Linked DNA regions of Ovis aries. The protein of the gene in region 3 purifies or fractionates together with the protein of the main gene of each other region. This does not show direct contact. Links are inferred from orthologs where the notes say so. Each region holds a gene or a part of one and is shown on either strand. Other genes may lie near its edges. The genes, in order: KDM5A, TFDP2, RB1, ARID4A, E2F3, E2F4 and KDM5B.

Region 1 (4,228 bases), on a different chromosome or scaffold from region 3:
ATCTCCCACTTCCATTATTTATACTGCAAAATTATGCTTTCCCCAATTACTCAACTGGAATGCAATCAGCTCATCTCCATACAGCATCGAATAATCCAAGTTTATCAAATTAAAAAGAAAACAGAATTTGAAAGAAATGAAAAGAGTAAAATTGAAGACCAAAAAATAACGTTTTAAAAGTACTTATGTAATTGGACAATGTGTTTTTTCATTCATGTGGAATGTGACACAGCACTTTAAAAGTCTACGTTACGTAAATGTTCTCTTCAAAGCCCAGCTTCTGGGCAACCAAATTTTTTTTAAAAAATGAAAATTTAAAAAAAAGTAAGCAAACCCACAAAACAAGGACAATTTCCAGATTGGAGACGTGGTATAACTAAAATGAGATAGCACATTTCAAGTAGAGTTCTAGAGACCATAGTTTGACTTGGTCTAAATAACACTAAATCTGCTTTAAAATGTGAAAAGAAGTTTTTAAAAAATTATCTTATATAAATAAGAAAAAATTATCTTATCTTGGAAACTAAAGAAATCCACCAATACTGAAATTAAATTCTGCTTTTAAACATTTATTTTCAATAATAATAATGTGACACAAAGATATACTATTTCAATTTTTTTTAAGTAACAAAAAGTAGTGAATTTTTTTTAAACCAAAAGGAACCTTGAATAGAATTTCTAATTCATGAAGACAACAGAGTAAATATGGTTCAGGAAAAGCTTCAGTGCTTAAGGTTTTGTCATTGAGGTAATCATGAAAAACAAAGGATTAAGTGAAAATAAATTTTTCATAAAAGTGAAGTTCTGGGAGGATGGCAATACACATACCATCATTCATCACAGCAGTTACTTGTTAATCTTTTGCTTGAGTGATGGTCAATAATCTTAACCAAACTGACTGAGCACAAGAGAAGTAGCTTGTCTGGGTTTTAGAATCAAACTGAGTGATCCAGATAGAAAAATTTACTTTGCCCAAGATCACACATCTGATAAGTTATTTAACTTATCCAGACTCGCCTCATCTGTAAAATGAGACCTTATTTACTTAGGAGGGCTTCAAAGGCTATTAAAAAAATCTGTAAGTGCTATGGTAGCTGCTCCTTCTCCTCCCTCTCAGGTAACCTCTTTTTATTCACTGCGCTGCATGCTTCTGTGGTAGTAAAAGCCGAAGCTTTTAAAAATACAACATGTAAAAGGACAAAATTTTAATTACTAGGAGACAAAACGTAAAGCAAGGTATCACTTTAAGAAGCACTTGGGCATGGCTCACAGACATTCACAAGCACTGAGAGTACCTGCTAGAAATGCAAATTCTAGAACTTCCATATCCAGAAACTGGTTCTAGACTGGGAATGGGGCCTAGAGATCTGCATTTTAACGAACATTCGGGTGCCCCTGGGGCAAGTGGATTAGAAACACCCGTTGGAAAGCACTGGACCTAACGGGCAGAGGGAAAAGAAACCTTCCGACCTTGACCAAATCCTCAACCTCTTGGGGCACTGAGCCCCACAAAACAAGGCACAGTATCAGCTTTCCTCACCGGAAAGACTGAGGATCGTAACCAACCTATGGGCAAACCCAGCTATCTGCCAATAGTTGCGACTCTTTATATCTTTTAAGATTTCAACGTTTTCTTCCACCTCCGTTATGGATCAATTCTTTCTAAACCTCCGAATTTTTACAATAAACGCTGCGCCTTCTCTTTCCCCGGGAAGACTTCTCATTCCAGCTGTAATCAGTCTGGGGTTCTTGTTTGGTGATACCATCCCAAGGGCCTAAGAACTCAGATTACCACTGAGGAAAGAAACCTTAGCCTGAGATGAGGCCCGCGAACACTTAATCAATTAAGCGTCAACAGGACTAGGAGAAAGCAGCAGCCGTCGGAACCATAGCTTTTCCTGTCGTACAGAAACGAGTGTACACTACACACACACACACACACACACCCGCGGGTCGGGCTGTCGCGTCACAACGCTTCCATCACCTTACAGGCCAACGAAAGGCCGAAAGCCTTTGTTATCCTTGCCCACAACCCAAGACGGGAAGGAGAGTATCAGTTCCCAAGTTCTGGGCGGAGGGGCCCCGGGGACATCCCTCTCTCGCCTTCGGACCAGCCGACATTAAAACCCCAAAGAAACCAAAACGGAAACAGATAAACTCAGCGTCCAGGTGTCGACAGACCAGGGCGAGCGAACGTGAAAGCACAGCGGACCGGAAGGCCGCGCTGAGGCGGTCGGGACTCCGGTACCTTGGGAGGTCGGATTTTGCAGATGCCGGTTTTCTCCGCCATGGGCCGGATGCGGCCGATGAAGCTGAGGGGATCTGTGAACTCCTCCCAGCTGGGCTCAAACACCGGGCACTCTGGGGGCGGCACGAACTCCGCCGCGTAGCCCCCCGGCCCCACGCCCGCCATGGCGGTACCGGGGTCCGCGGGGCGGGCGGAGAAGAGCTGGGCTGCGGCCCCACCGGTCGCGCTCACGTCCCCTGACAGGGGCCGAAGCTCATCTTCTCAGGAAGAGACCCGCTCCACACTCGCAGACCGACCCCGCTTCCTCTGGCGTTTGTTATTGTTTCCTTCAGGATTTTCTCCCCCCTCTCCGGTCGACGCTCGCCGGAAGTCAGCGTGCGGCCAAATCCCTCCGCCGCCAGAAAACAGGATTCCTCCGCAACGACGCTCTCCTGGGCGACCTTCCTTCCCCTTCCCTCTCCCGGTAGCTCGGCTCGCTCCTGAGTTCCCTGTGTGTCGAAGTTCCGCGCTGTCCACGACTCCCGGCGGCACAGCCCTGCGGCCCCTCCTACTGGGCGGTAGGGGAGCGGCCGGCCTCACGGGGCGCTCTTCCGGCGCGGAGGACGCGTAATGCGCCGGGGACAGAGGTTCTGCTTCCGGAAAGCTGAGCTGGGCCCTTCTTTGTGTACGTACGGACTGGAACACAAGCTGCCTGTCTTCGCCCGGCTGCCTGTTTCAACTTCCGTGTCCACCTGTTTCTAGATAACAGCGTCTGGTTTTTTTAGTCCTTTCATTGTTACTGTCCCTTTCTCATCCCACTCGGTCACTTTTAATCCGCCCCATCTCCATGGCAACAGTTTCAGGTTCAGCCATCCCAGCATATCTCTCACCGGCCGGCCCTCGCCACCATCCAGGAATTGATTTTCGTCCACAGAGAAGCAACGGCTGTTGACTTTTCGAATCATTGACAACCCCCACAGCTTCTCAACAGCAGTCGCTCTCTGGCAGCCATGCGCCGTAAGCCTGTCTCTGTTTTCTGTAACAACTACACCAGCTGTTCCGGCCCTGCTTGTCAAACATTCTTTGCCAGAGTCCATCTCCACTTCCTGCAAGTTGTGGAGAGTAACGCAGGAAGGACTAAAGAAGAAACCGTGAAAAGGCAGTTCTTGTATCTATTGGAAGGAAGACTTACTTCCCCCAGGGCTTGTTCTCATGCTCCTCGTGGGCAATCTCAACTTCCCCCACGAACTAAATTAGCAGCTATGACTCTCAAATCTGTACTTCCAGCCTGGATTCCTCTCCTAGGCCACAAATCAATATATCTATCTACCTACCAGACAACTCCACTCTGGTAAACCATGAACTCATAGTTCCCCACTGGGTTGTTTTGTTTTTTTTTTTTTTTCAGTATTTCCAGTTTCCATGGATGACTTCATTCATCTACTCATTTGACCTGAGCCAGAAATCTAGAAATAATCCTTAACTCCTCCTCCCTCACTACGCATAATCTGATGTTGAGGAGTTTGCGAGAGAGAGGTGGATTGAGAAGGACCCTGGGGCATGTGAATTGGTGGTAACGCATTGATAGAGCTAGAATGCAAGAAGCAGAGCACTGTTTAACTAGGGGACACGCACAGGGGCAGGGGCGGGGGAGAGAAATGTTACACGTGGGTTCTTGCGTTCAGCAAGTTACTGAGAATCTGCTTGGGGCGATCTTCTAAATGCTGAATCTATGGACAATGAACAACAAAGCAAAGTATGTCCCCTCACAGAGCACTTACATTCTGACGGAGGGAAACAAAATCATGAGTACTAGCAAATAAATATACTATTCTCAGTGGCCATAAGCCTTAAAAAGTAGTGAAGGGAGAGTGTGAAAGGGTGTTAAATGGGGATAGGGTGACCAGAGAAGAGCTCAAGACTGATGACATCTGAATAGAAGCTGTGTTATATATAATGAAAACTTGTTACCTCAATATCAAAGGGTAGGAGTTACTTCCA
Region 2 (4,268 bases), on a different chromosome or scaffold from region 3:
CAATAAAAGAAATCATTTCTTAGAAGTTAAAGTTGTCCAAATATCTTTACCTCAGAACCTATGAACCTTCTCTCCAGAAAATATCCAAATACATATAATTTTGTATAAAGTTTTCAAGGGCTTACAAATCTACTTTTAAATCTATTTATGTCCTATCCCTAGAATCATATACCCCAGATTAAAATGGAAAGAATTCAAGTATAAGAGGTAAATATATTTAATCTAGAAAATTCATCACAACTTCAAATTCTATGATTCAAAACTCTGAACTCTATGCTTTCTAGTTTCTTCTAAGATACATTGCAATAAGAGCTTAAAATATGGTGCTGAGTTCAGAAAAAAAGTGAAATCGTTTGCCAAGAGACAATGTAAACTGACTACAAGATCTATCAGTAATAATGGCTTATTACTTAATCTTTAAAAGAAACATACCTAAGTTTAAAGATAAAAAAATAAGATACTAAGGTACTACTCATATCTAATATTTAATGCCCAAATTACAAAGTGCCTCCTTCTACTTTCAAGCCTTAATCTTTTCATCTTTCAGTGCCAGTTAACTGTTAAGGTTGACAAACTAAGAAAACAAAGGACTAGAAGTTAGAATACCAGGTTCTAACCTATGCCATGAACTTAATTTGGGCTTAATCTGTTTTTTACCATACTCTACTCTTTGAATCCTTCAGGTTGTGTTTCAGTGAATAATTTTCATCCACAAACACTTTCCACATTAAGGATAAATCGATCTGTACATCCAATTTCAAGCTGCATTGAGAGGACATAGCTCAGACAGTTAAGAATTTTGGCTGCAAGGAAAAAAACTTGAAAGTGCCAGCTGGCCGTCACCATTGCCAAGAGTTGGTGGGAAAGGTACATGATCACAAAATGGTAACATTAAGTATGACACACTTGAAAATTCTGTTTTCTCTCCTAATTAACCAACCACACATAATGAGAACTCAAAAACAAGAGTTTAGTAAGTCTTGGGCCTTTATTAAATATAAGCACCATACTGCTGAAACTGCAACTGTACTGCCAGGACAGGGCTACAGACACCATGTCTGCCATGAGACTAGGCTCTAGTTCCAGGCACAAGATGTTCTAATAAATAACATGCAGCAAGCGCCAGCGCACAAGTGTGATAGAATCTGGGGTCTAGACATTTGATTTTTCTCCCAGTGCTACTTAAGAATGGCCGCGGCCATTAAAGATTTATTACAGTAACAGGATAGCGATAAAACTTTAGCTAAATGGCAGGCCAACCAATGAAATGGAAAAGCAACATGCAATAACAGATCAACTAAATTAGTTTCTATTTAATTTTGTACAGTAGGCTCATGATTACACTGCATAAAGAACAGATGAATAACCTAAACTGTATCTATTAGGTAAAGATGATTTCAAGCCATTATGAGAAAAGTGGCCCAGAAAAAAAAATCAGGCTATAGAACTCAAGTGGAAAAAACACACAAAGATTTGGGAGAGAAAGGGGAAGGAAGGGAATGAGCTACTGACTTACTAAAAAGAGAGCAAAGAAGTGGGACAGGGAGTCTGAGCCCTCTGAGACAAAATGAGGAAGAAAAAGAATTCAAAGGCTCAAAGGGAGCTTTAGCAGTGAATACGGAAAGGGATGAAACTGTCTCAACAGGAAAAAACAAAAACAATAGGGGGAACTTTTCTAAACCATCATTCAGGGTGGTCAATTCAATGCCTAACTCATGCAGGGCAGGGCACTTCGTAGGACGCGAACTTCGTTCCAAATAGTTCCACCAATTACTCCATTTCCTCCTGGCACCACCCCCAATAGAGGGTTACTATTACAGATGAAGAAACTGAACCACACAACGCCCGGGAACACAAGCTGGTACCAGAGACTGGGAGTTCATCTTAGCTGCACTTCTCCCTGCGAGATCCTACAAAAATCTTACACTTTTCTATGGAAAGGAACCTTAAATCTATGGAATTTCTCAGAGTCTGGGCCCAAAAGTGATCCCCTACTTTAGAGGAAAGTTCCCCTGTGGAGGTTGCAAGGCTCTTCCAAGCGCACGAGGCTTTGGAACTCTGAAATACACCTGGTAGAGACAGATGGAGGCATGTGGGTCATGAAAGGAGAAGTCGGAAAAGTCAGACTTAGAAGCCATTCTTCTGCCCTAAAGATACCGAAAAAGTAGAAAGCAGCCCTTCCTCTCTTCCAGCAGGCGTGACTCAAGGACAGTGCCTCCCCGCAATTTGCTGTGTGTTGGGGGTGGGGGGTAGTCTCGGGTTTCCCACTCCCTTCCCCAGGCACTCAAGGGTTACTCGGCCGGGCCTGGAAGATTGCGTGGGAATAAACAGATGGGACCCAGAGTGACCAGGGGGCCCGGAGGGGCAGGGAGGGAAACCTGCCCAAGAACACGCCGGGCCGGGTACAGAGGCCCGCCGCACGGAGCCCGCGCCCGCGCCCTGGACCTTACCACCGCTTGGCTGCAGGGGACAAGGCGGCCGCGCAGGACTGTTCTTCGAGCTTGGAGCGCGTCTTCAGGCCCCTCTGCTACAGTGGCGCCCGCGCTTGGCGGCGCCCGGGTCCCAGGCGGACTCACACTCGGGGAAGGGTGGGCGATCCGCGGCCTGCCTAGTAGAGGCCCTGGAGTTCTAAGCCCCGGGACGCCGACCGCGCGCGCGCGCCTTCGAGCCTGCCCAAGGAGGAAGGGTTAGGGCGCGCCTCGAGAACCGAGCAGCGGCAGCGGCTGCAGCTGAAATCTTCGGCGGCTCCGTCCGCCCTCGCCCGGCCTAGCCGCGGCCCCGCTTCCCCCGCGCAAGCTTTGGCGGCGGAGCAGCACGGTGAGCGCCGATTGGCCCTCTGGGTGAATGACGTACGGCGCCTCTCCTCACGGATTGGCCAGGCTGGCGGTGCGTGCACGGAGTAAACAAACCCCGCCTCCAGGCTTCCCAAAGAGAGGAGGGGGCCCCCGAGGTGGAGGAGCGGGGTCTCAAGCACTCTGCGGGGTACCCGGATAATCCACTGGAGGTTCTCAGTGGATCGCCTACAACGGTCCTGCCGCGTGCTTCCCAGCCGCCTCCGGAGCAGGCTACAGGCCTGAGGCCTAAAATTATAGCCACACCCTCTCCCCCTTCCCCCGGCCTGGGTGGGAATCTTGACTTTTCCATCCGCCCCCATCCCCCCGGCCCCTTGCAAGAAAACCCCGATCTTTCTTAGAAAAAGGAAAACGGGCGTCCCTAGTTCCCAGGCACATCTCGGTTCCCAGTCATTTGATCAGTCACCTCTGGGGGAGCAGCCTAGAGGGGCAAGGGGACGAGTGATGAGGCCACGTGTGGGGCCAAGTTTGCAGTACCCTGTAAATTATTCAGACAGTGGGTTAAAGACTGCTAGGGTGTGAGATTTTCAACAACCCGGCAAGTAAGATCCAAACCTGACCAGGTCATCATGTCACATGGACGCTGAAAAGAAAATTGCAGCTCCCACCCTCAAATACCTGTCTATTTAGTTCAATGTTAATAATACATTCTGTGCCTATCTGAAAAATCATGTGTGAGTTTACATTTTAGTGGGCTTCCCCTGTGGCTCGGTTAGTAAAGAATCCGCCTCCACCGCGGGAGACCTGGGTTCAATCCCTGGGTTGGGAAGATCCTCTGGCGAAGGGAAAGGCTACCCACTCCAGTATTCTAGCCTGGAGAACTCCACGGACTGTGTAACCGATGGGGTGGCAAAGAGGCAGACGAGACTGAGCGACTTTCATTTCACTTCACTTACATTTTAGTGGGGTGGTAAAGATAATAGGCAAAAGAAATAAGCAAAATATAAGCTATGTTACATGTTGCGACACGCTGTGGAGAACAAATCTAGTAGACCAGGAATGGCTTTAAGGGATGGCCTGTCTTAGAGTGCTCAGTCAAGGTAGCAGGAAAGTGCCATTTAAATAAATACCTAAAGGAAGTGGGGGAGGTGAGAATGCACCTTTGGACCTTTCTCTGGGGTGGAGCGGTGGTGAGATAATTTCTGCATAATTGTACATAGATAAAGTCCTAGGCGGTCAAGAAAGCCCAATGAAGTCTCCTTGAACTGATTCTAAAATGCAAAAGCCCCAAAGGAGTCATTACCTTGCATTTTTCAGTAATGGATCAATAGATGTAGTTTCCACAGAAATTTTGTTGAGATTTCAACTTAAATACTTTTCAAACACTCTAGGGACAAAGATACAAAAATAAGCAAAACAGATGAAACCTCCATCCTCAAAGAGCTCAGTCTAGCAGGAGAGCTGGATTGTAAACCA
Region 3 (4,261 bases):
GAATTCACGTCAGAACACAGCTGTATTTTATTCATAGCACCTCAGTTGGGAAGCTCCTAGCGGGCAACCCACAGCATCTGCCAGTGATACAAAAGCAGATACTCAAACTAGGCAATCTATTAGCATAAGTAAATACCAAGAGACAGGAGACACAGTTTCTAAGTCAATGTTTGGCCATAGTAATTCCTGCAAACTCTTTTCTGGTGTCTTTGTGCCTTGCACATGCTATTTCTCTCTTCTTGGTGTTTTCTTTAACACAACGTATTGGCTCAGACGGTAAAGCGTCTGTCTACAACGCGGGAGCCCTGGGTTCGATCCCTGGGTTGGGAAGATCCTCTGGAAAAGGAAATGGCAATCCACTCCAGTACTATTGCCTGGAAAATCCCATGGACAGAGGAGCCTGGTAGGCTACAGTCCATGGGGTTGCAAAGAGTCGGACACGACTGAGCGACTTCACTTCACTAATGGATAAGTAGAGTCACATATATCTCAGTTCAAAACCTCTACCACCCATCGGCTGTGTGTGTTTGTGTGTGTGTGTGTGTGTGTGTAAGTAACTCAGTCGTATCTGATTCTTTGCGACCCCATGGACTATAGCCTGTCAGTCCATGGAATTCTCCAGGCCAGAATACTGGAGTACTGGGCAAATGAATTAACTCCTCTGAGCCTGTCTTCCCTATCCAAAGTGTAATACGACTACAACTCATTTTAAAGGGCTGTTTCTGAGGATTCGGTAAGATAATGAGATAAAATGGCCAGAACAATCCCCTGTGCACATAGTAAGTCCTCCTTAGATGTGAAGTCCGTCTGGCAAACTTCTACTCAAATGCCCCTGCTCCTCTGAAGATGTCCTTAAGGCGTTTCGATGGTGCTTCCTGGTTTTACGCTACTATTAAAACCGCGCAGCACCTTGTCATCAGTTCTTTGCCCGCAGCCCCCACCCCTCTTCCCTCAAAGAACTCTCAAAAGGCCAGTTTCGTCGTCCCGTACTTGGTCTCCGCTGGTAGTGGGCAAAACCCAGCTCCTCATAGGTGTCCCAGAGGCAGTTTGTTTTTGTTTTGGCTGACTTCGCTTAACGGATTGGGCGGGAGGAGCGCGGGCGAGCGGGAGGGCGCCGCCCACGGAGGAGAGGGGCGTGCCCGCCCCGGGTGCGCTCGCCCGATACTCCCCGGCGGGGGCCTCGGCCGCAGCCCCGGACCCACCCGGCTATAGCGAGGGAGCCCGCGCGCACCCACCGGGCCGGGTAGCGCCCTTACCCGGCCACCCACGCCCGCAGGGGCGAGTTTCGAGGCGAGGCAGGCTGAGGCGGCGGCGGCGGCCGCTGCCTCCGGGCGGGCGCCTGGGTTGCAGGCCCGGGGCTGCCCGCCCGCCCGGCGCGCGCCTCGCCTCGCCTCGCCCAGCACCCCGGTGCCCTCCCGACGCCGGCGGGCCCGCGAGCCTCGCGGACGTGACGCCGCGGGCGGAAGTGACGTTTTCCCGCGGTTGGACGCGGCGCTCGGTTGCCGGGCGGGGGAGGGCCGGCCCGGTTTTTTTCTCAGGGGAACGTTCAAATTATTTTTGTAACGGGAGTCGGCCGAGGACGGGGCGTGCCCGAGGTGCGCGCGTCCTCTCCCTTCTCCGGCCCCACTCCAGCACCCGCCGGCGCCTGCCCTGCGAGCGCGTCATGCCGCCCAAAACCCCCCGGAGAGCAGCCGCCGCCGCCGCCGCCGCCGCGGAGCCCCCGCCGCCGCCGCCGCCCCCTGAGGAGGACCCCGAGCAGGACAGCGGCTCCGAGGACCTGCCTCTGGCCAGGTGAGCGGGCCGAGCCACCGGCGGCGGGCGGCGAGCGGGGAGGGCGCCCCGAGGCTGCGTCGGCGGCAGCCGCGGCGTCTAGGCGGGGGCGCGTCCCCGCGGGGCGCCGGTCCCGGCGGGAGGACGGTCCCCCCTCTACCACCCCTCGCGGCGGAGCGCCGGGAGGGAGCTGACAGGGGTCTGGGTGCGGGCGCCGCCTGGGAAGGGCGGCCGGGAGGGGGGTCTCGGCTCCAGCTTGACAGGTGTCGGGCGGGTGGGGCTCGGGTCGCTGAGCGAAGTGACAGGTGCCGCCTTTGCTCCGCGAGACGGCCCTGCGCATCCGGCGGGTGTTTCGAGACCCCATCACACGCAAAAGAGGAAAAAAAGAAAAGAACTAACTGGTGTTTGCTGGATAGGTTTTTTTCCCCGTTGAGATTTGTAGTCCTCCAGTGGTCTTTTGACTTTCTCTTTTGGTCTCTAGCGATGCAACAGTTGGAAGTGCCCCCCTCCCCCCACCGCCCCCGGGCGCGCAGCTGTATCTGAAGCCCAGTCCTGGGAGAGACAGTCAGAAAAGCCTTGGGTGCAGCGGCAGAGATGCCCGCGGACGTGAAGGGCAGGGTCCTGGGTGTCGGTTACCCCCCAGGAAGCTCGGCTGAGGCGCCTTGTGGCGTTCTCTTAGAAGGGGCTTTTCGGTCTTGGGGATTCATGGCCATAGGTAGTGACTGGTGGAACGTAACTCTTTAGAAAGAACTCGTACCTGGGCAAAAATATTGTGAGACGTTTAGCCCAAGAGCTTAAAAGTTCCTGAACTTTTCTCTTGTTTTCTAGAACTCTTCTTGCGTATTTTCGTTGGCTTCAGCGTGCCTCGTTATTTCTTCCATTTTGCCTTTCGGCTTTGAGCCAGCAAGGATCCTGGTGTCCTTGTTTTTTTTTGTTTTGTTTTGTTTTGTTTCGTTTGTTGGAGTACAAAACGAGTGTTTTTGTGCTCACGTGGAATTATTTTTCTTCTCGTAAGTGGATTCTAAATTTTAAGCAAGTCTACGATAATGCAGTGGAACTTTGACAGGAAGATAATGTATTGCAACATCTTATTTTTCTTGATTGTGATGCTTTATGGTTAGAACCAAAAATTGAACGAGTATAATTATCCATTATTATTGTCAGAGTTGGCCCTGCTTTGAGACTGCACATCAATTACAGGGAAATGGGACTCCTTTCTGTCTCCCTCCCACAGTCCTAGCCCATCAGCAGGCCCTATTTCTCTCACCTTCCCCTGCGCTAAGAGAATTCGGGACAAATTGTTAAAGATTGGGAAAAGCTTTTGGAAATGGCTTGTGAAAGGCTATTAGAAATTCATATATGACTGTCTTATCAATTAAAAATCATTCTCACTAGTGGGAAAAAAAAAGAAAGCCCAGGGATGTTCTAGGAGAAGACATTAGTTTCTGATTAAACTCTGATATGTCCAGTATTTTCCAGTTTCCTTTTGGTAAGAGCAGTGAAGTCTACTGCAAAGAACCCTGTGTTATCCACAGAGCTCGGAAGCATTCTTGAATATTGTGGAGTAACCAGAAATACTGAAGTTCTGGCCAGCACCTGGGAAAAGAAAGTCTTTTTTCCTTCTATTTTCCAGCATTTCATTTTATATACTTTAAATGATGAAACTATCACAAATTCTTTAAGTCAGAACCATGCAAGATAAAGTCTGTTCTTGATCTATCCTTACCCATAAAATGTGTCCTTATGGGCTATCAAACTACTGGTTAACTACTTAACAAAGATAGAACCACTGCCTGGCAGTCTGAAGCTGAGAACTTTACCTGGGGTGGGTTCAGGGCCCAGTCCAATTGCATTTCCAGTGATGGAGCCCATGCCTACTTTGAGAGTTGAGAGTTTACTTAAGGGAAACAGCACACCATCTTCATTCTTGAGATAACCAAAAGTTAATTATGTTTCAGAGAAGGGTTGGCAGTCTGGAATAGTGCTCAAGGGCAAGGATTATAGAGTTAGATTATTGGGTTTCTATCAGGGTTTCTGACATACTGTTTGTGATTTCAAGTGAGTGCTTTAACTTCTCTGATTTGGTATTTATCTGTAAAACAGGGTAAGAGGACTTACCTAATAGGCTGATGTGGGGATTCAGTCTACCTTCATCTAAGGTACTTTGTCTGGGATCATAATAAATACTAAAAAATTATTAGCGATTCCTTGTACTATTATTATTAGAGGTCAAGTAGACATTAACTGATTGAAAAAGAATTAGCCAAGAAGAGTTTTTTGTCTGCCTGTCTTGGTTAAGGAAAATCAGAAAGAAAGCTTGAATTTAATCATCATCTAAGAACTACTAGTAAGTAGATTAAATAAAACACTGTGAAGGGTAGACTGCATTTTAGCAAAAGTTAATGATATTGAATTGGTTTTGTAATATTATCTATTGCTTTCCTCTTGCTGTTAACCAACCCAACTTTCCCAGTTTTAGCTCTTGTACTTA
Region 4 (4,108 bases), on a different chromosome or scaffold from region 3:
GAGTTTTCTGAAACAGAGTACAAGATCTTGCTCATGGAGCAAAATCAATAGCTGCTCTAACAAAGTCCTATCGAGGAGGTTCTTTCATTTAATGTTTTCAGTCCCCGCAAATCCACTGCTCTTTCCTTTCGAAAAGCAGCGTGAGCCCCGTGCACTCTGGCACTCCCATTTGTCTATGGTTAGAGCAGCAGAGTCGTGCTAACAAGGGAATTCGAATTTCTCAGCACCCAAACTCAGCGTTTCCTTCTGTCTCCTCATTGCTTAACCGCGTGAGGAGCACGCGGAAACACCTTCCCACGGAGGATGGGACCAAGAACCCTCCCCTCTCCATCTTAACTGGTGAGGAACCTTCTTCAGTCGGTGGCTTTGGTCGCAGAACATGACAAGCTGCCGAAACCACTTCCAAAGGGAGGACGCACTGCTCTGAGATGAGCAGAATCCCGAAAATCCCTCACCCTCCCGAGAGGAGCCCAAACGGTCAGCCCGGAGAAGGAGACGTGCACGTCCCCTCCGCCCCTTTCTCTGAGGCCGCGGGAGACGAAGCCTCGCCCCCTCTTAGCCCGTCCCCCGCCCCCGCCCGCGACCAGCTCCCCACCCCGGCGCAGGGAGATCTCTGCTATGGCCGCCGCGCGGCCCCCTCACTTCCGGTGCCGGTGCCGCTAGAGCTGCGCCATCCCCCAGTCTACCGGACAACCACCGCTTTCAACTGACCTTTCTGAGAGATCCGGACTCTTCCGACCTTCACTAGGTGCTGTCCTGGAGGAACCGGCGGATGGTTGCCGCAGTTAAATGAATTCACGGGATATAGATTCCGCTCTCCTCTCACCAGAAACATAAAATGCGATACAGCTGCGGCCACCTCTGCCCAGACAAAATGGCGCCGAGAAGCTGGTTCAGCGCAGGCGCCTTGGAAAGACCCTGCCCCGCCCCCGTGTAAGTCCTGGCCGCAGCTCCGGGTTCGGTTTCCATGGGACACTCCACCGCCAATCCTCGTGCCGCACTGCTCTTCCTGACCCCTCAATTGACCAATCAGTGCTCAGTCGAGCACATCCGTAGTCGTATTTACCAATCATTTTTCAGGACTTGCTTACTCAATACCTGATTCTCCAGTAACGTTAGTCTTCGGAGACAGCCAATCATAAGTGGAAAATGTCCTACCTGCTGTTTTTCGCACCAATCGGTGAAGTTTCAGAGCTACATCCAATGAGGACGGCAGGTAGCGAACTCCAATCCGAAACTCTTCGGCGTCATGAGCAGCCAATAGGAGTTCGTGTAGAAGCGAGTCTGCTCAACAGCTTGTTATTTGGTGGATTGTGGCAGTAAATCGGGCGAGTGGGGAACCCGGCGCAGGAACTGCCGCCGCGGCCGGGAGTGGTGCTTCCCGGACGGGGGCCCACGGGGGTCAGCGGGGCGGAGGACTCGGGAGCTGACAGCGAGCACTTCACCCACAGTTGGTAGGTGAGAAGAAGGGAAGCGAGGGTACTGAGTGGACGAAGCGGCACTAGCAGCTGGCGCTGCTGCCCGGGGTCCCGGTGCAGTTGGAAGCTTAGGAGGTGGGGAGGGGGATGCTTGGCAAGCGGGGCGGTGAGCTCCGGTGAAGGGGCTAGTCGTGGAGCAGCGGCAGCAACTGCAAGAACAGCCTCCGCAGCAACCTCCTCGGCCGCTTCCCCAGGTTCCCCGGGAAAATGGCTGTGGGGCTGGTCGCGCCGCTAAGTTTGCTTCCGCGAGGCGAGGAGCGGACTGATTAGGGAAGCCGGCCCCCAACTCCGCGGTGCGTCCTCCCGGGTGGAGTCCGTGGCAGGACCCGAGGGGCTGGTGGCTGGTACCGCTCTGGGCTGTACAAAAAGTTGAGGCGGGCGCGGGGAGGAGGCGGCGGCTGCCGCTGTGCAGCTCCCCTCCCCTCCCACACCCTGTCCGGGCCACCTCCCCTCCTCCTCTCCGCCCCCCCCTCCTCCCAGCTCGCTCTCCCTCGCGGGTCTGCCCTCCCTCGCGCGCCTCCAGGCTGAAGGCCACGGCCCCTGCCCCATTGGGTGAAGAAGCGCTTCTCCTTCCTGACATGGTGCAGAGCGGAGGAAGGAGAGCAATGGCGCCGTGACACTCCGCTGCCGCCACCGCGGGCCCGGGGCGGGCCGAGGGGGCCGAGCGGCGGAGGCGGGGCGCGGGCCGAAGTCGGGGTATCCGGGGGGCGGCCGAGAGAAGGCTGGGCGGCCGTGCCTGCGAGGAGCCCGGAGAAGCCCAAACGGCGCTCTGCCCTTCTCCGGAGCAACCCGTCCGGGGGCACTGAGTTGAGCATTCCGGGTCAAAGTGGCTAGCGAGGCGGGGGCGCGGTGGGCCGCTGGCGAACTCCGCGGTGGAACCCGCTGCCCTTTGGCGCCGGTGGGGTTCTCGCCGCTCTCTAGGCTCCTGCGTCCTGGCTGCCCTCGGAGGGGATCTTACCCCTTCCCTGGTAAGGGTTCTGCCCCTCCCCGCTGGCGTTTGTTTACTTTCTTTACCGGGGTCGCTCCCCTCCGTTGACTGATTCTGTGCCTGTCTTTCTCCTCCCCTTGGTTATAGCGACGGAGAAGATAGCTCGTTGAGCTGGAACCCCACAGATCGCCAGTGAAAATGAAGGTAAGTGGAGTCGACGCTGCTCGGAACCTCGTGCCCTGAACACTGTCTGTCGTGAGGCTGGTGCTGTGGAATGTCATTTTTTTGGCTACTCAAAATTGATTCCTCTACTAAGCAGAGCTTTCTGAAAATGAGGACGTGTTGAATGGGTAAGAGATGATCATTGTGTCTAAATGCGGTCAGTTTGGCCCCTCTCCGAAGCAGTTAGCACTTTGGACAGGCTGCTGCAGCCTTCCCATTGTTGTCCAGTGGGCTAGTATTTTTAAACACTTCCTGTGTTGGCAGCACCCTTTGCAGAAGTAAAGCTTTTGTCCTGCTTTGGTTCTTTGGGGGATTTTTTGAATTTTTTTTCTTCCCCAGTGCCAGTGAGATTTTCTAAAGAAGGAATGTGTGTATTGTGTTAGGGACATATCATTTCTTCTGGGGATAAAGTGAAATTTTGTGGCTGGAATATACTTGAAGGTGAAGGAAAACTAAATTTTGTATATTATTATCATAACTAATAGCACTTAATTTCAGTTCAGTCCTTACAGTAAATATTTTAAACATATACCCAACCTAAAAAAAATTCTTCTGAAGACAGCTGATATTGCAGACATCCTGTGATGTTTAAAGGGAAAGGAAGGTATATCAACCTGTAGTTCTGAGGTGTTGAATATTTGCAAAAAGTATTTCTCATCAATTTGCATTATTCATAAATGCACTAACTTTAAATTTGATTTCTTACTCATTTACTGTTTCAGTGTATTGAGCTCTGAAATACAGTATTTTCCCAAACTTCCTCTCGCTTTCCTATCTCCTTGAAGTTTTGAAGTGACAGTGTACCTTCTTTAATGTTAGTTGGGAAAATAGAATGAAAAATCATTTTCTGCTTGAAAGTATTTCTCTAAACTGTACACTGTCACCGTTGCACTTAGCAATGTTGAATTGAATTTGTATACATATACTTAACTTTTGAAAAAAGTTGGTAAAGTGACAGACTGAGATAGCAATTATTCCGTTACTATCAAGATTAAAATGAATGGAGAAATAATATTTCACATCTTTCAGTGTATCATTCTGATCATGACCATTTGCTGAAAGCAGGTATTTCTTTCTGAAACTTAAAAAAATATATACCAAGATTAGTGTAATAAACTTGGTACTACTACCATCAATTCACATCTCTGCATTAATCAGATAATTTAGACTTGAAGCTCTAAAATGCAGCACTTAGCCAATGGTTTTTCTAAATAATGCTCTCTTTGTCAAAAATATTGGCTTCATTAATTATCTATACTGTTACAGTGTATCCAAAATGTTGCCTTTATGTAACTATATTAAACATTTAATTATGTACTAGTTAGTATTAATTTTAATAGCATATTTCTTTTAATTTGAAAATAAAATTTTCAGGAGGCCATAAGTGAATAACTTAAAATTCTATGAGACAATATAAATAGACTTTTTTGAATTTTAAAATTTTTTCATTTCTTAAATATATTGTAAAATTGTTGAATCA
Region 5 (4,298 bases), on a different chromosome or scaffold from region 3:
GATTAGGTTTATGATATAGGGGCAGAACTGAGTAGGGGGCATATATGTTTGAAATACATCCAAGCGTGTTTAGGTAAAGTCAGTAATAGTGTTTAATGTTAGTAAAAGAGTGGCATATTTCTGTGACTGAGAATCCGGCACAGTGGATACTGTATGTGTGAGCAGGTCCTATACTCTTTTCCCCCCTGCTGGCAGACCCTAGTCACTAAACGCGATGAGAGCTCCTTTGACTGAGAAGGTATCACACATCCCTAGCAAGTATCTCCGGGGCTGAAAGCACTAAAGACCCAACTCGAGGAGAAATTGAGAAAAGTCAGGAAATAATATATTTCATTCTTCCCAGACCCATCTCTTGCCCCCGAAGTGCTGCCTGGGTGCTGCCGCTCTTAAAGATCTCTGCAGAATCTTGAGTCTTCCCAAATTTCAGCCCATTCGGAGCCGAGACAAGGTGAGGTCAACGACGGGTACGACCAACCCACCATTTATCTAAACTGGGTCTGGTTCGTTTCTAGCCTCGTGGGGGCCAAGCCTCACCACGAGGGAGAAGACTGGAGGCATGGAGGAAGGGAATGCAGGAGAGAAAAGGAGAAAGGGGGAAGACCTCCCGGCCACACTTCTTTCTAGTATCAACAAAAAAAGAAGCCGCATACTGACCTAAATCATCTCTCAAAGGCGCTTTATAAATTACAGGGACAAAGGGAGGGGGTGGCGGGTGGCCTGGGAATCCTACAGACACCCTACCCTCTGACCCGCCCCCCTCCCCCTCCAGCACAAGGGAAGGAAGACAGAAAACAGAGCTCAACTCGGCCATCGGCGAGAAGCCCCCCTCCGATCGCCCATCCCTCGGCCCCCCTAGGAAAAAATCCACGTAAACGCCATACCCACCCCCTGGGGCGGACACTCCTGCCCCCTGGGTTCCTAGAACCGGAGGCCGGGGCATTTACTTAGTTACATTTTTCTTGCTTACTCATTTCCCTCGAGCACCCAACCCCCCGTTCCCACTCCAAAACCCCGCTCAACCGCCTACCCTCACGGCTCCAGCCCCCCAACAGAATCCTGTGCCCCCGCGGCGGCGGCGGCCCCCCGAGCCGTCCCGGTCACTAACCTGCTGCTGTAAGGGCATTTCCGAAACCAGCCTGGCTCCGGGGGGGAGGTGGGGGGTGCCGGCTGGAGAGGGGGCCCGGAGGGCCGAGCGGACCGGCGGCGCCGGGCGAGGGCGGGCGCCCGTGGAGGGGGGGGGGGTGCCGGGGAGAGGAGAGGGAGGGTGGCCGCGCCGGGGGCGGGTGCGAGGGCGCCGGGACGGTCCCAGGCCAGGGAGCCGGCGAGCAGGAGGAAGTGGGTGCCCCCTCTCCCCCTCCAGCGCCCCCTCCCGCCGCCGCCGCCGCCTCCTCCCCAGTCACAGGCGCGTCCTCCGCGCACGTGTGCGAAACGTCACCGGCGGGTCCCGGGGAGAGGGACAGACCCAGGCGGCGGGACGGGAACACGGCTGCCCCCGCCCTCCGTCGCCGGGGGGCGGAGAGGGGGACAGGGCGGGGGGAAGGAAGGGGCAAGGGGAGAGGCGGGTCAAGGGCAGGCCCGGGGCCCGGCGAGGAAGGCCCGGGCGCTCGGGCCACGCGGGCGCCGCCGCGGCCACCGCCGGGATGCGCCCAGGCCGGGGCCGCCAGCCCGCGAGCCCCTCACCCCCTAGACAGCCCACGCCCGCGCCCGCACCCGGCTCCCTGCTCCACCGCCCGCCTCCACTCCCCCCAGCCCCTTTGTTGCCGGGAGTTAACAGATCCCCAAATGTGTCGAAGCGCAACCTGGCAGAGCCCCTGCACTCCGAGCACGCCTTAGGGACCCCCGGCTGCCAACGGGCCTCGGAGGCCGGAAGGGGGGGCCATCACCCCCAGGGCCCCCACCTCGGTTTCCACCCCCCGGAGTCACCCACTCCCCAGTTCCCTACTCCCTCCTCCACCCCCTTCTCCATCCGGGGCGTGACCCCTTCCTACGCCCGAGAAAGAGGAAGCTTCGAGTTGGAGGGGAGGGGAGAGTGGGGGTAGGGAAAAGTGCAGGAAAAGAAGAGGGGGGGCCGCGAAAAGTTTCGGAGTTTTTGATGTGGTTCGCGCCAAGGCGATCCCCGCCGCCCCGCGCTCGCGGCGGAGCCCCCCGACCCTCCGGGTGCTGGTGGGGGTCAACACACGAGTCTTTAACAATAAACCCTCGTTGGAGGGGCAGCCGCCGAGGCCCGAGACGCTCGGCCCCGCACTCCCCACCAAGGGCGGCCCGCAGCGCGCCCACCACCCCGCGCAATGCGAGCCCACCTCCCGCCCGGGCTGAGGACGGTGGGGACGGGAGGGCATTTACCGGAGGGCCGCCGCCGCCGCTGCCGCCGCGTCCCAGCGCTGGTGGCTGCTGCAGCAGCCCGGCTCTGCCGGAGGGTCCGTGCGGCGTGGTGTAGATGAGGCTGCCAGCGGTCTGCTCCACGCCGGGGGCACTGGGGAGGAGGGGGCCAGCGGCGACGGCGCCGCTTTGGAGGGAGGAGGAACAGGAGGTGGTGGAAGTGTTCGTGGTGAGGATCTGGATGTACGCGCTCGGGGCGGCGGCGGCGGCGGGGAAGCCGGGGCTGGCTAGCAGTGCCCTTTTGTCCATGGAGGCTGCAGCGGCCGCGGCGACGACAGCCGCCCCCTCCCCACCCCCGGCGGTCACCAGGTACTGCTCCAGGGCGGGCTGGATCCCCTTTCTCATCTCTCGCTCCTGCTCTTTTTATTGCTATGGTAATATTAACGTATTGTTTGCAATTTCTTTTATTATTTGCAGTCGGAGTTTCCAAGTCTCTCCTTCTCTCCTCCCCGCCCGGCGCTTCCGAGCCCCTTCTCTCTCTTTTCTTTTTATTTTTCCGCACCGCACGGGCCCCGGGGGCCAAAAATAATCGGGGCCCTGGAGAGAGGAGGGTCCCGGCCGCACGGATATCGGGCCCCGAGGGGGGATGGAGGCGTCGGGGGCGGCCGATGCAATGGATTGCGAGGCGGCGGCGGCTGCCCGAGTGCTGCGGCCGGCAGCTGAAAAATGGCTCCAGGAAGCTGCTGCTGACAATGAATGAAGGGATACGGTTTACGCGCCAAGGTCCTCCCGCGAAACTCAGATTTCCCGCCGGCTTTTCAAACCATATTTGCATGTCCCCGCCCCTCAACCCGCCGAGGACCGTTCCCACAGCCCATTGGGCCTCTGTCTCATTCCTTCCGTCCCAATCGTGGAGCAGGGCCGCGACTTGCCGGTTTCAATTGGCTGCCGCGCATCATGGTTGTCGGGGCGACAGGGTTCTTATTTGCATAGGCTTCCTTGATTGGCTGGGGCGGAGTGTGGGTTTTAGGCGGTGGGGGGTAAAGTCTGCCTTCTCTCCCACGGAAGACCACGCCTTGTACAGACTCCTCCCCCGTCCCCGCCCTCCAGCCGGGCGGGCGCTGCTGACCTGGGCAGGGACTCCGCGCCCCGCAGACTCAGTGTGGATTTAACCTAGAGCGCAAGTTTCGCTTTTGGAAATTGTCAAGGTGACCAAGGGGACACTTTTCGGGGACTCGCTTTCGTTTGACCAGTAACCGTAATAGGTGAACGACAGCGAGAGATTCTCCCAAGTGTGCGCCAAAGGCAAGTTGGACCTTGCAAATGACGCCTGGCAGGTGGAAACTGAGCCCTTTAAATCGTGGGTTTCCCCCTTCCTGAAATCCAACCAATGCGGCAAGAGCTGATCCCGAGGCCGAGGCTGACAGACAGAAGCATGTGGGCAGACAGAATCGTGGGGGCAGAAGGTTCGACTGACGTGGTTGCGGGCACCATTTAGTAACCATTCCAGATCATTTCTGGTAGTTTCATTATTAGCCTGATGGGATTTAAGTAAAAATTAACTCCGAATGTTTTGCCAAGTGAAATCTTATAACGAATTTTGAGTTCAGCAGACACCTCCAACGCCTCCTCACCCTCTGGCCCAGAAGCACCCAGGGCAGTTAATCTGGGCTAACCTAGGACTGATCGGCGGGTTTCTAATCCGCCAAACGGTAATCCGAAGAAGTACATGCTTCCCACGATGACGTCTTGCTCCAAACAAACGCTGCACGCCTGGCACCAGCACTTTACAATTTTGGTTTCCTAGCAAGTTCTCTGACAGGACGACCTAAACTTATTCCAAAATATTTTCAAAGAATTTTTTAAAGTAAACTAGACATTGCCACCAGAAAAATATTAAATTATTGTCAAACTGACTTTTGTGCTGCTGCAAGTATTCATGGATTTTAAAATTGAAGATTGCGCCTTTGAGACTAAGC
Region 6 (4,034 bases), on a different chromosome or scaffold from region 3:
AACTCTCAGTATTTCATCTCGTCACACAGAAACATTGCTTCTTGGGTCCCCGAAGTCCCTCATTACCACATACCCCTTGTGTCTCACCTGTAATCTCAGCTGCTGGACCAGCCACCCCCTGGGCCTCGGTGCTGCTGGGGACAGGGTTGGGGGTGGTTGCCTGGGGACTGCTCGGGCGTGAGGCATCCTGGGGCTGGGCCAGGGCAGGCTTGGGCAGAAGCGGAGGGGTAGAGACAGCAGGCGGGCTCTGGAGCAGGTCTTCGGGTGGGGGCACAGGAACCGCCACAGGTGGTGAGCTCCATGCCTCCTTGTTCACCAGAAGCACCTCAATGGGGCCACTTACACTCTTCAGGTGAATCTGGTACTTCTTCTGCCCATTGAGGCCCTGAATGTGGGGGTGGAGGACAGGTGGAATTGGAAGCAGATTTGGCTCCTGCCTGACCCTGGGCCAGGGCCAGTATCCTCTCCCACCCTGGGCTGCCCGTTCCCCTAGATAACTTCAAACCCTAGGCCTCCCCTTACCTGCCCCACCCGGGACTTATCGGGCTCCACAGCCAGCACCCGCCCTCAATCCACCCCACCCGGCTGGGCTGAGCACCCACCTCTGGGATGGGCACCTCCAGGCTGGTGCCCGACGGGGCCCGGATGGCAAGGAGAGTGTCTCCTAGGATGACAAAGACGATGGATCAAGGCCCATGGGCTCAATTTGAACTGGGAATGGGGTGCCTATCCCTCAGAACAAGGAAGGACGTCATAGTCCCGGAGGGGGCGGACAGTAGGCTTCACTCACTCCCTATTGAGGCTGGGGGAGAAAACTAAAGCTTTTTCTCTCCTAAGAACCCAAAGGTCAGTAACCAGAAAATCTGGGTTCAGATATGTGGAGCAAGAGATTAGTGGCCATGGGCACCTCATTCAATTGATGGGGCTGCTCCCTAGGCAAAGATGTTCTGGCCAAGGCCAACAGCTCTTCCCCAGAACCAGCCTGGGAGATGCAAGATGGACGAGGAAGAGTTCCTGTACCTACAGTGCAACTAAACTACAGGTTGGAAGTGGGTACCACTGCCCCCTGCACACAAGCATATACAAACAGGCACACACACTTTCTCCCCTCGTATGCTTCTGTCACACCTGAGAAGCCAAACCTAGGGGGCGATGCAGGTGGTGGCTGACCCAGAGACCCAGTCCAGGCTTCCTGTACCCTCTCAGCATGGTGAGCCTCCATAGGGTCCCAGAGATCCTCAAATCTAGGCCTTACCCTGTCTGGTTCTTCTTTGAGCAGGCCCCAGGAACCCTCTTAAGAGACGGAAATCTCTCAAGCACCGAGTCCACTGCTCAGGGCTGTGGCTCAGCCCAGTCCCACCCCCATTTCCCCCTACCCAGGCTCTGCTCACCAGCAAAGCATCTGCAGATGTCCTCATGAGTCACGTAGGCCAAGGTGTGGGGGTTAAGGAGAATGGCTGATGCCCTGCCTATGGTGACAGATAACTGACACAGCGAAGACCCAGCTTTGCAGCAGAGGTCTGACATACATGCTCACAAAGAGAAGCCCTGAGGCCTGGGGTCTACATGGGGGAGGGATCACAGGCCAAGACTGTGGGTGGAGAGGCTCCGAGGAGGGAACCGGAGGCTGAAACCTGGCCAGGAGCTGGAGGACCATCCTCCCAAGTGGGACAGAGACTAGGGGACACAGAGCACACCCAGCTGGACTAGAGGGCCCATCGCCCACTCCCCGGGAGCCAGGACCGCCGATAAGAGGATATCAGCTGTTCTGCACGTCCTCTGTGACGTTCCGGATGCTCTGCTGCACCCACACCTTGTGCTGGTCTAGTTCTTGCTCCCGCTGCTGCAGCTCCTCGATCTCTGCCTTGAGCTCAATCAGCTTGTCCGCAATCTCCCGGGTATTGCAGCCAGGACCCACACCCCTGAATCCAGGAAGGAGAGCTAAGAGGGACTGCCTGGCACTCTGGGTCCTACAGCCCCTGTTCTCTCTGCCACCCTCCACCCCACACTCCTGACACTTCTGGGTAGGAGATACCATTGCCGACCCCGGTGCCCCCACTCACTTCCACTGGATGCTATTCTTGGATTTTTTCTCAATCAACCCGATACCTTCCAGCACGTTAGTAATGTCATATATCCGCCGCTTCTGGCGCACAGCTAGGGTGTCAGCTGCCTGGCAAGGAGAAGAGAATGGAAAATGCTCAGTCCCACTCTCACGGGGGACTCGGTCTGGAGTAGTCTGGAAAGGGGGTGGCCTGAATTCTAGCCCTCCTCCCCAGGCACTACAGCAGCTCAGGACTGTGGGGCGGGAAGAGGCCAGACGAAGCCTGAGCTGATGTTCCGATGCTCTTTTCCCCACACCTGCTGGAAAGGGCCACGAGGACTACCACCCGCAGCCTCAAGCTTGCCACAAAGCTGACATCCGATGAACAGCCTTAGCCGAATGAATGAAACAGCTCCCGGCCTCCCGCTTGTGAGAAGCACATGTATGGCGGCCTGCTCTGAGGGCTCAGCTGGGCCGCCCCGGGGGTTCCCTCTACCGGCTCAGGCCTGGTCCACCATCCCCCTGTCGTCCCTTAGCCCGGGCCGCACCAGCTTGAGGTCAAGCACACCGTCCTTGGCTTCCTGCAGAAGCGACACGAACTTGGTAGTGAGAAGTCCCAAGCTCTTCTCGTGCCGGCTTGGGGTGCCTGGGGGCGGCGGCGCCTGTGGCCCGGCCTCCGCCATCGCGCCCGCCCGCCGCCTCCCCTCAGCCAGGCCAGGCCAGGCCGGCGCCGCCGCCACTTCCGCTTCCGTTCCTGGCTGCTCGGCCGCCGGCGCCAGCCTCGCTACTTCCGCTTCCGCTTCGTTCCCTTCCAGGGAGTCCGTCACAATTCCTCTCAGCAGACATGGCCGAAAAACTTGAGGGACCATCATCAAATGTCCAACCGCCGAAGAGGACGAAAATAACCCCAGGATCCCGGAAGACAGATGTGGTCGAGGAAGCATGTGGAGGAAGTCGTTGGGTAGCCTCAGGAGCAGTAAGGAGGAATCACTGGAACCTTCCTGGCTGGCAAACCTGACCCAACTCGACTAACTGTGCCCCAACCCTCATCTCAGGAGAGGAGACCCTGCTGCCTGATGAACCCAATGTGTTTTCCCAAACCTGCTCCTAAAAGACTGCCCCACTCTCTTGGGATCACCTACCCTCCTTATTCCTGTCCTTCAGTTCCTGCCAAACAGCAAGCACTAACTACATCTAGCTTATTCACCTGTCTGCATCCCCACTTTCTTCCCCTGATCCCAGCCTCGCCTTTCTCTTGTCTCCACACTACAGTGCTCAGAGGCCATGGGATTAAAACCACTTTTCAACCGATGCAAACATATTTACCCATGTGTAAATATATGTAAAGCCCTTAGAGCAGTTTCTGGCATGTGGAAGGATTATGTGTTTGCTAGTATCATTTTGTTATTTTTAACACTATCATTTATTATAGTTTATTTTAGGTCAAGTTCTTTGGAAAACAGTCTTTGAGAAAGAGATGTGCCAGCAGGAAGTTTACTGAGAAGCCACACTTGTAAGGAAATAAGACAGGCCAAACAGGGCAGAGAGGAGAATTAAACTGTGAGGAAGTTAAAATGGAGGGCTCTGTCCTTCTAGGAGCACTGAAACTGGGGTACCCCTTCCAAGGCCTACCTGGCCCTTATACCCTAACACTGACCAAGAGACTCAGATCTGAGACCTCATTAGCCTACATTTCGGGCAGCTAGGGGAATGAGTGTCTTTGTCCTGAAGGGTGGATTTGGGTGGTAGCCAGTGTCCACAGCATTATTACTACCTAGTAGTCAGTTCCACTGGAGGAGGGCATGGCAACTCACTCCAGTATTCTTGCCTAGAAAACCCCATGGAGAGAGGAGCCTGATGGGCTCCAGTCCATAGAGTGGCACAGAGACACGACTGAAGCAGCTAAGCAGCAGCACCAGTCCCTTTCATGGCTCCTTTTATCTCCAAGACAAACAAGCTTTCATAGCTCTTCCACCCCTCTCTGCCATCT
Region 7 (4,037 bases), on a different chromosome or scaffold from region 3:
ATTCACTGACCAGCCTATTAGATTTTGCCTAATAATTACCACCCTAAAATTAATTACCTCCAAATACCACAAAATGACATGGAAAATACAATTTGTCCTTAAAAAGAAATCTAAGTACATCAAGGAGGAAATGAAAATTTCCATTATAAGGATAAAACCAAAAGGCAGATTACTTGTAAACTGAAGAAAGAAATCCAAAAAGCCAGACACTTGATGTAATTTGAAAAACGGTTGACTTCCATCTTTAAACTCATAACTCAGGATTTGAGTAATGTCTTTTTGATTTATTACCTTTTATCACATTTATCTTACTATATTTCAAACAAGTTTCTGTGAACCTCAAGTTTTCAACAGCCAAGTAGTTTAGGACCATCACTGAGGAGCAGCTATAAACTGAAGCTACCTTAAGTACCATTAATTAAAGATGCAAAGGTTAAGGACAAAAAGAAATAGAAATACTTTGTAATTCTTCCCCTTACTTTGAAAAGTAAAATACCAATAAACCCAATCCTCATTTTAACAGTCACTTATATTCCAGAAACTCAGTGGCCACAATCATCTAGACACACAAGCATTATAGCATATATAGCTATCACCGTGGAAAACATTTCCTATCTCTTGGTTTGTTGTTGGTTTATTTCAACTATATGAAACCACTTTTTCACAGAAAACGGTTTCTAAAACAACCATTGCTTACATCCTCTTCTCTTAGGAAGCCTTTGTTCCAACAAGACCCTCCTTCAAGAGCTACAGCTTCTGGAAAGGTTTCTCTTTTTGTGGTTGTATCCACAGTGAATACTTCCAAACTCTTTCCAGTTGGCACAGGAGTTTCTTAAACAAAGGAGGAAGCAAGCCTCCTCCACACAAAGGAGGTCTCCAAAGCACAGCACTGGTCATGTTTGTGGAGCGCTTATCTGCGCCTCCCTCACCCCCGTCTCGGGCTGCGGGATGCACCTCTCTCAACACAAAATGGTGGCCATCACGTCTGTCAGACACTGAGAATGGGGACAGACAGACAGATCACACGTTTTGCAGGGCTTACAACTGGTATTCTGGCCAAGATGAGGAAATGAGTAGCCAAACCTAGGCAGAGCAACACTACCTTTTTAGGAAAAGAGCCTCCCAAAAGGCACGGGATGAGAGAGTGGATAAAGGGTTTGCACCACAATACCAACATGGAGGACACCTCACTCCCAGGAGGCGACTGCACGCATTTGGGCTGCCGAGAACTTCCTCAGGTTGCCTAGTTCCAGAGGAGACCCCACTGAGGCAAAGCACTCTCCACAGTCTGCGTCCCTAACGCACGACACCAAGCTCCACGGCCACCTGTCCGCGCCCGCCCTCCTCTTCCCGAACCAAGCCCGGGCCCCGATCCCGCACAACTTCTGCAGGCCTCCGGCCCCAGCCGACGCGCACTTCCCCTCGGCAACGGCGAGCGACCGTGTCCACTCCTGCAGCGAGAGGCACCGATTTCCAAGCATCGCCCCCGCACCAGCGGACCAGCTATTTTCGGAGGTGGGCATTTCACCTCCGTTTCCGACTACTCCGAGACACACTCCAGGGTCCCAGTCCGCGCTGCGCCCCGGGGGCGCCGGGGGCGGCGGGGGCGGCCGGGCGCCGCGGCTCCGCGCGAGCCCCGCAGCTCCAACGTCACCACAAAGGGCGAGCGCGGGGCGGGGGCGGGGGGCTGCACCCGGGGGCGGGGGCGGAGCGGCGGCCCGGCCCCGCAGACCCTCCCGAGGCAGTTGGGCTCGGGCCAACGGCCGCCAAGGTGGGCGCCGCGGGGCCGCGGCGGGGGCGGGGCGGGGCGGGGCGGCGGCCGTTGCGGCCGTTGGGGCCGGTCTCGGGAACACCCCCCGCACGCCCACCCCGGCCGGGGGCTGCGCGCGGGCCGGCCTCGGCCTCCGGGGCGACACCGCGCGCCGCGGACGGCTCCCGGGCCGGGGGCCCGGCGGGCCGGGGGGTCGCGCAGAGCTTCGGGGCGGCCGCCCCCCGAGGCCCACGCTCACGCCCCCTCGGCCCGGCCCGCGGGGCCCGCGCACGGCGCCGCCGCCCCGGCTCGCCCCCGGCCCCGAGGACCTGCCGGGGGTCCGGAGCGGGGCGGGGGGCCGGGGCCGGAGGGTGGGGCGCCAGGTGAGGCCGCCCGGACCGCCGCCGCCTCCACACAAAGGACCAGGGGCTCCGCCGCCATATTGAAAACTTTCCTCCTCGCGACAACTCGCGGGGCGCGCACCCCGCACCCCCGGCGCCCCGCACCCGCGGCCCCCGCGCCCGGGGGCCTCCGCGCCCGCCCGCCGCCCGGCCGCCCGGCCGCCCTCCGCCCGCGCGGGTCGGCGCACGGCCGCGACCCCGGTGCCGGCGCCCCCGCCTCTCGGTCCGGATCCGCACCCCGGCCCGGCCGCGCTCCGTCCGCCGCCCCCGCGGCCCGCGCCCCGCGCCGAGGCCCGGCCGCCCGGACCCCCGCCGGCCGCGCGCCCCGCTCGAGACTCACCGGCGGCGGCCGCACCTTGCAGATCCCGGTCTGCTCGGCTATGGGCCGTATCTTGTGGATGAAGGCGAAGGGATCGGCGAACTCCTCCCAGCTGGGCTCGAAGACCGGGCACTCGGGCGGCGGCAGGAACTCCCCCAGTGGGCCGGGGCCGCCGAGGGCCGGCACGGGGCGCGGGCCGGGGGCCTCCATCCTCGCGGCGCCGCGGACGCGGCTGGGTGGCCGGCCTCGGCCTCCTCCGACGCCTCGGCCTTCCTCCTCCTCCTCCTCCTCAGACTCAGATCCGGCTGCTCAGACTCCGACTCCGACTCTGACTCCGACACCGACCGACGACGCCGCGCCGCCCCAGCCACGCCGTGCGCCTCCGCCGCCACGGCGAGGAAAAGGAGTCCCACCCCACCCCCATCCCCACCCAGCCCGCGCCGAGCGCCCGCCCCCGGGCACGGATCGCGGCCTCACGGTTCAGCCCAGCTGGCCTCCACTGACCGTTGACTGCGTGCCAGAGTCCCCTCCCTCCCTCAGGAAGTTACGGGTCTGGGGGAGAGGCTGGGCTCACGGGTGGACCCTCTGTCCCGCCCCGCCGCGTGGGAGGCGCCCTGGTGGAAGTCCGCAGACATTTGGCCAGACCCCTGGGGCCGTGGGGTGTCGGGGCCGGAGGCGGCTTTTCCAGGTGGAGGGGTCAGCTCGAACGTGACAACAGCGCAGAGGTGAGAAAACAACAGGAGGCTGAGAAACTAGCACTCTGTACTAGGCCTTTGCACGTGCTCTCATGATGAATTTTTAATATACACAACAACCCTACGAGGCAGGTACTCGTTTCCATTTACACATAAACCCAGCGAGGCGCAAGTTGATTTGCCCAAGTTGCATATAGGTCAACAAGTGGTGGAGACACCACCTAACCGGAAGGTAGGGTGTTGCAGGGAAGAGTGTTCCTTGAGCAACAAGACGGCGGGTGTGGACAATGGTATGTTAGCTGCTTGCATCTGCGCTTCATCCCGCGCGGGAGTCCCTGCTATTGTCCCCATTTTGCAGAGCAGACAATAAAGGCACAAAGAAGTTCACTAAGAGATGATAACACTTTTGACACATCTGGGGTTGGTGTGGGGAGGATAATGTCCTGCCCCAGAAAAGGGAAGAGAGGGAATTCAAAAAGTAGAACTTCAACCCTAAAAAGAGCTCTTTCCTCGAGAAAGGAGCCAAACCCACGAAGGACTGTTCGCCAGGGCCTCCTTAGTAGGTAGGTGTCAACCGAGTCCTAACCCTGATGTTATATTCACCTGAAGGAAAGTCTTATCCTTGAGGATCCTTCCTCCAAAAGGCCGCGGAGGGGAGAAGCCTCCTCTTCAGAAAGCTCTAAAATAAACCCAAAGGTCCTTGGAGAAGGCAGATCCCTCCCTTGCTGTCTAGGGCTTTAGGATCTTGCTAAGCCAGGGCGACGAAGGCTGAAACCAAGGGCAGCTGGCACCCTATTAAGTCGTCAGTGTACAGAGGATGTGACATTGCAGGTTAGAATGTGCTCATGTGTTCACAGAATCTAGCTGGGGGT

Evidence for each region.
Region 1: the proteins of RB1 (region 3) and KDM5A purify together in Homo sapiens (affinity purification with western blotting; 4 studies listed by BioGRID and IntAct, with this or other methods). This does not show direct contact. The link is inferred for Ovis aries from reciprocal best matches to the Homo sapiens genes RB1 and KDM5A.
Region 2: the proteins of RB1 (region 3) and TFDP2 purify together in Homo sapiens (affinity purification with mass spectrometry; 4 studies listed by BioGRID and IntAct, counting the BioPlex papers as one, with this or other methods). This does not show direct contact. The link is inferred for Ovis aries from reciprocal best matches to the Homo sapiens genes RB1 and TFDP2.
Region 4: the proteins of RB1 (region 3) and ARID4A purify together in Homo sapiens (affinity purification with western blotting; 3 studies listed by BioGRID). This does not show direct contact. The link is inferred for Ovis aries from reciprocal best matches to the Homo sapiens genes RB1 and ARID4A.
Region 5: the proteins of RB1 (region 3) and E2F3 purify together in Homo sapiens (affinity purification with western blotting; 9 studies listed by BioGRID and IntAct, with this or other methods). This does not show direct contact. The link is inferred for Ovis aries from reciprocal best matches to the Homo sapiens genes RB1 and E2F3.
Region 6: the proteins of RB1 (region 3) and E2F4 purify together in Homo sapiens (affinity purification with western blotting; 10 studies listed by BioGRID and IntAct, with this or other methods). This does not show direct contact. The link is inferred for Ovis aries from reciprocal best matches to the Homo sapiens genes RB1 and E2F4.
Region 7: the proteins of RB1 (region 3) and KDM5B purify together in Homo sapiens (affinity purification with western blotting; 3 studies listed by BioGRID). This does not show direct contact. The link is inferred for Ovis aries from reciprocal best matches to the Homo sapiens genes RB1 and KDM5B.

What each region holds. Positions count from the first base shown.
Region 1 is NC_056056.1:213,125,843-213,130,070, forward strand, and holds the start of KDM5A (lysine-specific demethylase 5A), read right to left. Parts: upstream 2,801-4,228; 5' UTR 2,414-2,800; coding exon 2,249-2,413; intron 1-2,248. UniProt on the Homo sapiens protein: Histone demethylase that specifically demethylates 'Lys-4' of histone H3, thereby playing a central role in histone code. Does not demethylate histone H3 'Lys-9', H3 'Lys-27', H3 'Lys-36', H3 'Lys-79' or H4 'Lys-20'.
Region 2 is NC_056054.1:247,417,130-247,421,397, reverse strand, and holds the start of TFDP2 (transcription factor Dp-2), read right to left. Parts: upstream 2,801-4,268; 5' UTR 2,451-2,800; intron 1-2,450. UniProt on the Homo sapiens protein: Can stimulate E2F-dependent transcription.
Region 3 is NC_056063.1:18,457,889-18,462,149, forward strand, and holds the start of RB1 (retinoblastoma-associated protein), read left to right. Parts: upstream 1-1,461; 5' UTR 1,462-1,663; coding exon 1,664-1,791; intron 1,792-4,261. UniProt on the Homo sapiens protein: Tumor suppressor that is a key regulator of the G1/S transition of the cell cycle. The hypophosphorylated form binds transcription regulators of the E2F family, preventing transcription of E2F-responsive genes.
Region 4 is NC_056060.1:68,644,036-68,648,143, forward strand, and holds the start of ARID4A (AT-rich interactive domain-containing protein 4A), read left to right. Parts: upstream 1-1,308; 5' UTR 1,309-1,458; intron 1,459-1,855; exon of another isoform or gene 1,856-2,446; intron 2,447-2,553; 5' UTR 2,554-2,604; coding exon 2,605-2,610; intron 2,611-4,108.
Region 5 is NC_056073.1:36,829,729-36,834,026, forward strand, and holds the start of E2F3 (transcription factor E2F3), read right to left. Parts: upstream 2,801-4,298; 5' UTR 2,725-2,800; coding exon 2,344-2,724; intron 1,455-2,343; exon of another isoform or gene 1,124-1,454; coding exon of another isoform or gene 1,106-1,123; intron 1-1,105. Other genes in the region: uncharacterized protein LOC132658271, read left to right, coding at 2,988-3,491.
Region 6 is NC_056067.1:34,396,008-34,400,041, reverse strand, and holds the start of E2F4 (transcription factor E2F4), read right to left. Parts: upstream 2,801-4,034; 5' UTR 2,728-2,800; coding exon 2,593-2,727; intron 2,174-2,592; coding exon 2,064-2,173; intron 1,923-2,063; coding exon 1,761-1,922; intron 1,436-1,760; coding exon 1,392-1,435; intron 665-1,391; coding exon 603-664; intron 386-602; coding exon 88-385; intron 1-87. UniProt on the Homo sapiens protein: Transcription activator that binds DNA cooperatively with DP proteins through the E2 recognition site, 5'-TTTC[CG]CGC-3' found in the promoter region of a number of genes whose products are involved in cell cycle regulation or in DNA replication.
Region 7 is NC_056065.1:79,352,134-79,356,170, reverse strand, and holds the start of KDM5B (lysine-specific demethylase 5B), read right to left. Parts: upstream 2,801-4,037; 5' UTR 2,681-2,800; coding exon 2,492-2,680; intron 1,662-2,491; exon of another isoform or gene 1-1,661. UniProt on the Homo sapiens protein: Histone demethylase that demethylates 'Lys-4' of histone H3, thereby playing a central role in histone code. Does not demethylate histone H3 'Lys-9' or H3 'Lys-27'. Demethylates trimethylated, dimethylated and monomethylated H3 'Lys-4'.